2 linked regions of the Ovis aries genome follow. The protein of the gene in region 2 interacts with the protein of the main gene of each other region in a pairwise test. Links are inferred from orthologs where the notes say so. Each region holds a gene or a part of one and is shown on either strand. Other genes may lie near its edges.

What was found. The genes of interacting proteins can lie anywhere in the genome.
Region 1: the proteins of TNNI3 (region 2) and TNNC2 interact in binary tests that used the Homo sapiens proteins (3 or more experiments, as listed by UniProt). The two-hybrid records come from large-scale screens. The link is inferred for Ovis aries from reciprocal best matches to the Homo sapiens genes TNNI3 and TNNC2.

What each region holds. Positions count from the first base shown.
Region 1 is NC_056066.1:74,576,263-74,580,246, forward strand, and holds the start of TNNC2 (troponin C, skeletal muscle), read right to left. Parts: upstream 2,808-3,984; 5' UTR 2,744-2,807; coding exon 2,735-2,743; intron 1,164-2,734; exon of another isoform or gene 1,083-1,163; coding exon of another isoform or gene 1,080-1,082; coding exon 1,028-1,079; intron 881-1,027; coding exon 737-880; intron 650-736; coding exon 535-649; intron 369-534; coding exon 232-368; intron 1-231. UniProt on the Homo sapiens protein: Troponin is the central regulatory protein of striated muscle contraction. Tn consists of three components: Tn-I which is the inhibitor of actomyosin ATPase, Tn-T which contains the binding site for tropomyosin and Tn-C.
Region 2 is NC_056067.1:63,047,504-63,051,502, forward strand, and holds the start of TNNI3 (troponin I, cardiac muscle), read left to right. Parts: upstream 1-1,176; 5' UTR 1,177-1,320; coding exon 1,321-1,331; intron 1,332-1,629; coding exon 1,630-1,645; intron 1,646-1,797; coding exon 1,798-1,884; intron 1,885-2,300; coding exon 2,301-2,342; intron 2,343-2,620; coding exon 2,621-2,752; intron 2,753-3,132; coding exon 3,133-3,222; intron 3,223-3,726; coding exon 3,727-3,903; intron 3,904-3,999. UniProt on the Homo sapiens protein: Troponin I is the inhibitory subunit of troponin, the thin filament regulatory complex which confers calcium-sensitivity to striated muscle actomyosin ATPase activity.

The DNA of each region.
Region 1 (3,984 bases), on a different chromosome or scaffold from region 2:
GGTCCCGGGGGTAGGGGGCGGGCCTAGCCTCTTAGACCGGGCGCCCGGCTATTAGCGGATGCATTGCACAAAACCGGCCCGCGGGAGGCGGGGAGGGACCTGACCCCACCCCACCCCGCCCCCCCCCCCCCCCCCCCGCCCCGCCCCCGAGGCGGAGGACGCCCGCCGGGAGGCGAAGGTCTGGGGGCTCCCGTCCCCGCGCCCCGGTCCCCGCGCGCCCCAGACCCTCACCGTCGAAGTCAATGCGGCCGTCGTTGTTCTTGTCCCCGTCCTTCATCAGGGATTCGAGCTCCTCGTCTGTCACGTGCTCCCCGGAGGCTCGGAAAATCTCCGCCAGCTCCTCGGCGTCGATGTAGCCGTCCGCGTTCCTGCGGGCGTGTAGGGCCTGGGCGCGGGGCTCAGGGCCCGCAGGGGCCAGCCTCCCGCGCCACGCCCCCCGCCTGCACCCCCAACCGCCCCCCCGGAACCTTCGGGCCCTGAGAGCCAGATTCAGACTGCTCCGCGCCTTGGCTGTTCCCAGGGCCCCCGACGCACCTGTCGAAGATGCGGAAACACTCAGCCAGCTCCTCTTCGCTCTTGCCCTTGGCGTCCTCTTTCATCTGGCGCACCATCATGACCAAGAACTCCTCGAAGTCGATGGTGCCGCTGCCTGAGGGGAGCGGGTGGTGAGTGGGCCCAGCCCTGGCTGCCACGCCACCCACCCTCCCACCCCGCCTCCCGAGGGCCGCCGGCTCACCATCCTCATCCACCTCTTCGATGATGGCGTCCAGCTCCTCTTTGGTGGGTGTCTGACCCAGCATCCTCATCACGGTGCCCAGCTCCTTGACGCTGATGTCCCCGCCGCCGTCCGCGTCAAACATGTCGAAGGCGGCCTTGAACTCTGCCAGGGCGAGGAGTGCAGAGAGCCGAGGTGAGCCTGGCGAGACTGTCAGCCTCACATCCACATACTCTCTCCCCACCTGCCCAGACACTCCAGGTTCCCCGGCACCCCGCCTCCCAGCAGCCAGCCTGCCCACCCCTAACTCACCAGCGATCATCTCCTCGCTGAGGTAGGACCGGGCCTCAGCCTGCTGGTCGGTCTGCAGAAAACACGGGCCATCAAAGAGTCAAAGGGACAGAGGGGAGTACATTCCTGCCTTCACCCCGTTATCCTGCACCCCCATTTCTGTACGTGCCCCCTACGTCCCTGCAGAGCAACAGCTTCCAGTTGCCCCACTCTGGACATGCCCCCACAGCACCCAGCCCCACTTTTGAAGAACTGGGGATTATGTCTCACTTGTCTATCAGAGATCAAGTCAGGGCCCCCCACCCCATGACTTTCCGCGAGTCATTAATGTACCTCATTCCCTGATCTCTTCTCAGCAGCTTTTCAGGGATCAGCTGGAATCAGCCGAATGAGAAGGTTTTGTAAAGTGCCAGCATGGTTCCAGCATGATTTCTAGGTTCCCTACCTGCTCATCACACTTGGTACTTTAATAGTGAAGTCACTCAGTCTTGTCCTACTCTTTGCGACCCCGTGGACTGTAGCCTACCAGGCTCCTCTCTCCATGGGATTCTCCAGGCAAGAACACTGAAGTGGGTTGCCATTTCCTTCTCCAGGGGATCTTCCCAACCCAGGGATTGAACCCAGGTCTCCCGCATTGTGGACACTTTAACCTCTGAGCCACCAGGGAAGCCCGGTACTTTAATAGGTGCTCAATAAATGTTTGTGGTCACACAAATAATAATGTGACGGAAAGTTACTGAGTCCTGACCAAGGGTCAGGCCATAGACCAGGCACTGTTTCCCAGGTGGTTCCCAGGTACCACCAAGGAATCAGGCACATTCCCTCCCTCAGAACTTGCAGAGACAGAGGGTGTAAGCTTCCTTCCGCGGACTCAGTCATCAGAGTAGATACCACTCGGTGCTGGGCAGAGTGGGATGTGGGCCTTGTGGGGGTGACAGGTGGCTCTGGAGAGTTCCGATCACATCCAAGCCCAGCCACCCAGCCGGGGCTCTGGACTGAGGCTGGCCCTGAGGGAGTGCTGAAGCATCCTAGGAGTCCTTTGGCTGGCTGGCTGGCTGGCTACTGCCTGTCCTCCCTGTCTCCCTCCTCCCCTTCCCCTCCCCCTCTTCCCCTCCCCCTCCCCAGTCCTGAGCCAGAAGGGCAGACTATTTTTAGTAAGGCATGGGCAACAGCAGCTGCCCTCCGGGTCTAGTTACTCCTTGAAGAGAAGTGGGGAGGGCTCACCGAGGAGAAGCACAGCCTCAAATCCCAGCCCCTCTCCGGGAGGGTGACATCTCTCTAACCCTGCTCTGTCATCTTTGGCCCCTTGGAGCTCTGGGGGTCCTGCTCCTGAGCAGGCCTCCTGTCTTCCAGAGGAGGGCTTTAGCAAGGCTTCCAGCCCATCCCCCCACCACCACTCACTGCCTTGCTGGATAACCCCCTCTCCACCACGAGGGAGACAAGCTAAGGCCCACTCATGGTCCCCTGATCCACACTGCTAGAAGCCTCAGAAGATCTCAGGGAACCAGCAAGCCTAGAGGATGGGCCCCTGGAACGTCCTCACTAGCCGTCCCCTTCCAAGACAAGTCCAAGGCCCTCTTCCAACCTTCCTCCCAGACACCGGGATTCCAGGAGCGTTCAGATTCCATCTTCAAACATCCAAGTGACTGCCCCACCAAGCACCCAGATCTGAGAGATGCCCAGAAGAGCTCCAGTGAAGGCAGAGAGGAAGTCCCTTTGGATCCTTACCCTTACCATTTTGCGTGTCCACCTGGACTCCTTCGCTGTAGGTTACCTTCTCCGTACTCCACCACCCAAAGATGCCCTGGCCCGCTCTAGCCCCTCGGATTTGTAGGGGCATCCTCTCCTCCCACCTCCCTGCTCCCCAGGACCAATGCCCTGGCCAATCAGATCCTGGGGTCAGTGAGCCACCTCCTCCCAGAGTCCTAGCCCATTACCTAATTTAGCCAAGGGCCCTTGCAGAGAAATTTAAGCCTCTGAGCAGGTGGCGAGCCTTGACGTCCTAGATTCTTGTGAGGAGAACCCGCCTTGCTCTGCCACTCCTAGTGAGCCCCCCCACCCCGCCCCCAAGAAGCACACTTGCTCCCAGATGGGTGAGGAAGATCAGGATAGAGGAAAGAGAGGCAACCGTAGTAGCATGGAAGAGCACAAGCCTTGACGTTCAAAACCCAAGATCCAAGTCCTGTCTCTACAAGCTGTGCATACGTGGGCAGGTGGCAATGCCACTCTGAACTTCAGTTTCCTTGTGTGTGAGATGGAGACAGTCATAACCTCCCTCCCAGAGAAACCATGGTAAACAGGAGCCTGGGTTTAAGTCACTGGGCTTGTGCCAAATACTTAAAGTCAGTGCTTTGCAAATGGAGTGTTTTGTCTTTGGATCAGAGACCAGAGGGGGACAGGACAGGATGAGGGGAAATTGACAGCCACAGTTACTGAACCTCTGCGACGTGCTGCACATGTGCTAAGCGTTTTAATCATCTGATCTCACCCAATACTCATCCTGTGAGGTAGCAACTATGGTTATTCCCCTTTTTACCGGGGAGGTTTGTAAATCATAAATCTCTGTAGTCACGTTGGGGATTCTTATTCATCCTGACTGAGGGGAAGTTGGGGCAGACGGTCTTCCAGAGAGACCTGTCTGGAGGGAAAAATGAATAGAGGGGTCCAGGAAACGGGGTGTGCACTTGGAAGAGAAAGAAACATTGAAAGTAGATTCTTCTCTCAAGCTTACCTTGTCCAGGAAAGGAGGTTTGGGGATTCACTCTTTTAGGAGGGGAGGGGACCAGAGGAGGTTTCCCTAAGTAAATGCAGGGACAGCTTGCCCTTTGCTGGAGCTCAGGGAAGATGTCTGGAGGAGCTCAGCTGGCCTCCTGGAGAGTGAAGGGGTGGGTAGATCAAGTCAAATCCAAAGGGAGACCACCCTGAGAATCCACGGCCTCCACCAGGGTGTTGGGATGGGCAACATTCATGGACTCTTA
Region 2 (3,999 bases):
AGGGGGTGTGGGGGGGTGAGCAAGAGGTGAATTTTTATGTGCTACCTGCTGAAGCATATTAAAAAGCAGAGACATTACTTTGCCAACAAAGGTCTGTCTAGTTAAGGCTATGGTTTTTCCAGTAGTCATGTATGGATGTGAGAGTTGGACTATAAAGAAAGCTGAGTGCTGAAGAATTGATGGTTTTGAACTGTGATATTGGAGAAGAGTCTTGGGAGTCCCTTGGGTTGCAACCAGTCCATCCTAAAGGAAATCAGTCCTGAATATTCATTGAAAGGATTGATGTTGAAGCTGAAACTCCAATACTTTGGCCACCTGATGCGAAAAGCTGACTCATTTGAAAAGATCCTGATGCTGTGAAAAATTGCAGGCGGGAGGAGAAGGGGACAACAGAGGATGAGATTGTTGGATGGCATCACCAACTCAAGGGGCATGAGTTGAGTAAACTCCGGGAGTTGGTGATGGACTGGTGTGCTGCAGTCCATGGGGTCGCAGAGTCGCACACGACTGAGTGAATGAACTGCTGAAAGCCTGGGCACCCCACACCTGTATCCTCAAGTGAATCAGCAAACTGTACTGATTGGGTAACAGGTTTGGGGCACTGAGGCTGAGCATAACACAGTGAGGAAGTTCCAGCCCTCAAGGAGACTGCAGTTTAGTGAAGGGGCAGGGCCTAGACTCCTGGGTCTGAGGGAGGAGCGCTGGGGGTCTGGACCCCCAGGTCTGAGGGAGGAGGTGTGGGGGGCCTGGACCCCTGGGTCTGAGGGAGGAGGGGTGGGGGCCTGGACCCCCAGGTCTGAGGGAGGAGGGGTGGGGGCCTGGACCCCCAGGTCTGAGGGAGGAGGGGTGTGGGGCCTGGACCCCCAGGTCTGAGGGAGGAGGGGTGGGGGCCTGGACCCCTGGGTCTGAAGGAGGAGGGGTGGGAGGCCTGGACCCCTGGGTCTAAGGGAGGAAGGGTGGGGGGCCTGGACCCCCAGGTCTGAGGGAGGAGGGGTGGGGGGCCTGGACCCCTGGATTTGAGGGAGAAGGGGCTGGATTCCCAGGCCACCAAGGTGAAGGGGTGATCCAGCTGGAGCATGGCCCGCCCCACCCCTCACGCGCCCCGTTATCTCGAATCCTGGGCAGGGGGAGGAGGGGGCAGCAGTATATTTAGTCTCCGTCCTCGCCCTTTATCTCAGTGTCCTCAGTGAGGTTTGAGCAGACCGGACGAGACAAGTCCCAGGGACCTTCAAGGTCACTCCGGACGCTCCCTCCCTGACCCTCCAAGAGCTCCTTGCTCCCGGGGTTCTGCCTCCCTCAGCTCCTGGCCTGAGACCCAGCATGGCGGACCGGTGAGTGAGGACTGGTAACCTGGGCTCTTGAGGCCGGAGGCGGGTGGGGGCTCATCTCCCGGGTCCCTGTGAGGAGTGAGAGTTGCGAGCCTGGACTCCACTCTGAGAAGGAGGTAAGGACAGGAAACCCGGGTGTCCGAATGAGGTGAGAGCTTGGGACTCCAACCCCTAGGAGCCTAGAATGGGGAGCTGGTAGGCCGGAACTGTGGTCAGAAGGGCCTATGGGGTCCCTTGGGACACGGACTAGACAGGACCCAGGCCCACCAGTCACCCGCTTTCTTGGTTTCTCTCCCTCCAGGAGCGGCAGCAGTACGGTGAGAGCGGGCGTGGGCTGGTCCCGCGTGCCCGGGGAGGGGGCTGCGGGAAGGGCTCTGGGGAGAGAGACTGCAGCCCTGGAAGACGGCAGGGAGACGGGTTGGGGAGGGGGGCTCCCCGTCGTGACTCAGCCCCGTTCCCCCAACCCCAGGCGGGGGACACGGTCTCCGCGCCCCCTCCTGTCCGACGCCGCTCGTCAGCCAACTACCGCGCCTACGCCACGGAGCCGCACGCCAAGGTGAGGTCGGGGGCCAGCGAGGGCGCGGGGCCGGTCGGGGGGCGCCTCGCAGGGTTTAGATTCAGGTTCTTAGGGCACTGGCGTCCTGGGGAGGCGGGGCGGAGCCAGGGCCCTCATGGGACTTTGGTGGTGGGCGGAGCCCAAGAGGAGTAAGGCCTTTATGGGACGGGCTTAGCAGAGGGCCGACGTCTGATTGGTGCGAGCTTGAGGATGGGCGGAGTCCCGCCGCCTCCGCACCTGAGAACGCTTAGAGACGGTGGGCGGAGCCTAGCTATAGGCCCCAGATTGGTGGATGGGGATGAGGGGCGTGGCTTCCCGCGGGCTGGAGTTGGAGGAGGGACTTGACTTGAACGGGCGGGATTCTGATACTCCTCCCGCCGTCCTCCGTCATCCTTCCTTGCTGTCTTACCCGGCAGAAAAAGTCTAAGATCTCCGCCTCGAGAAAACTGCAGCTGAAGGTACGGATGAGCCCACGGAAAAGCTAGGTGTCTTCAGGGGGCGGGTCTTGGACGTTGGGGCGGGGCTTCGGGTGAGCGACTGGGCGGGGCCTGAAAAGTTTGGCGGCGGGATGGCCCTGCCAGGGAGGGCTGGGGCCCGGGAATGATGGACATCAACCTGGAGGAGGCAGGTCTCTGGAAGCCGGCCTGGGATTAGAGGGCGGGGCCCGGTGAGGGTGACTACCCCGCAGCGTCCTCATCCCAGCACTGGGCCGCGGTTCCCGGCACCCCCTCCCTAGACCCTGATGCTGCAGATTGCGAAGCAGGAACTGGAGCGGGAGGCCGAGGAGCGGCGAGGAGAGAAGGGGCGCGCTCTGAGCACACGGTGCCAGCCCCTGGAGTTGGCCGGGCTGGGCTTCGCGGAGCTCCAGGTACTGGTTCTAACCAGGGACTCCGGCCCGGCCTAGGCTCCCAGGTTCCTAGTGTCCGATCTTGCGTCCCTTGGGACTCAGGGGTATACTTACGATGCCCCCACTCTTCTGCTCAGGACCTTTGGGCCCAATTTGCCAATTCTCACCCTTAGGAGTTCAGAAATGTGGCCCCCAGCTGCCTACAACCTCAAAACGCAGAGACTGGTTCCTCCAGCCCAACTCCAGTCCAGATTCTCAGAACCTCTGACTTTAGAACCTCTAAAGTTCCCCAGGGTCTGACTTCAATCTACTCCTCCAGGTCCCCAACCCCTCCTCCTTCAGACCCAGGAGTCCAAATCCTGGGGTTTCTCCTCACTACACACACCGCATTCCTCCACCAGGACTTGTGCCGAGAACTCCACGCCCGAGTGGACAAGGTGGATGAGGAGAGATATGACGTGGAGGCGAAAGTCACTAAGAACATCACTGAGGTGGGAGGCACTGGGCAGCCTGGGTCCCTTTGGGGTAGTGTGGGATGATTCAGGCTCTGGTCTCAGCCTGGCCCCTTGCAGCTCCTTACAGCTGCAGACACCAGGAGACGCAGGACAACTCTGTGAACCTGGCAGGGAGAGGCCAGAAGGATGAGCACAATAGGGTCAGGGATGAGCACAAAAGCCAGGAGGGGACAAAGCAGGAAATATGTTTGTGAACATTTGTGGCTGGAGCCTCAAGTGTTGGTAAGTCAGCTCAAGTGTGGGCCAGGGACCTGTGAGATGCATGTAACTGGACTGGGATGTGTCGGTGGCTTTCAGAGATGAGGCCAAGGCAAATTGGGTATCCAATTACAGGATGGGGAGCTTGGATTTCATCCTGAAGGTGGTAGAGGCCTGAACTAGGGAGAGCCTGGCTAGGGATAGGAGAGAAGTGTAGGGTGGAGAAGTGAGGTAAGCAGGAAGAGGAGGGGGGTCTCCACCTCCCTTTATGGCTTCACCCAGATCGCAGATCTGAACCAGAAGATCTTTGACCTTCGGGGCAAGTTTAAGCGGCCCACTCTGCGTAGAGTGCGGATCTCTGCAGATGCCATGATGCAGGCACTGCTGGGCGCCAGGGCTAAGGAGACCTTGGACCTGCGGGCCCACCTCAAGCAGGTGAAGAAGGAGGACACGGAGAAGGTGAGTGTGGCTCAGTCCAGGAAAGGGGGTGCTTGGGGGAGGAGGTAGTGGGCAGCAATCCTAGGGCCCAGCCTGAGGGCGGGTGATATTTGGAGT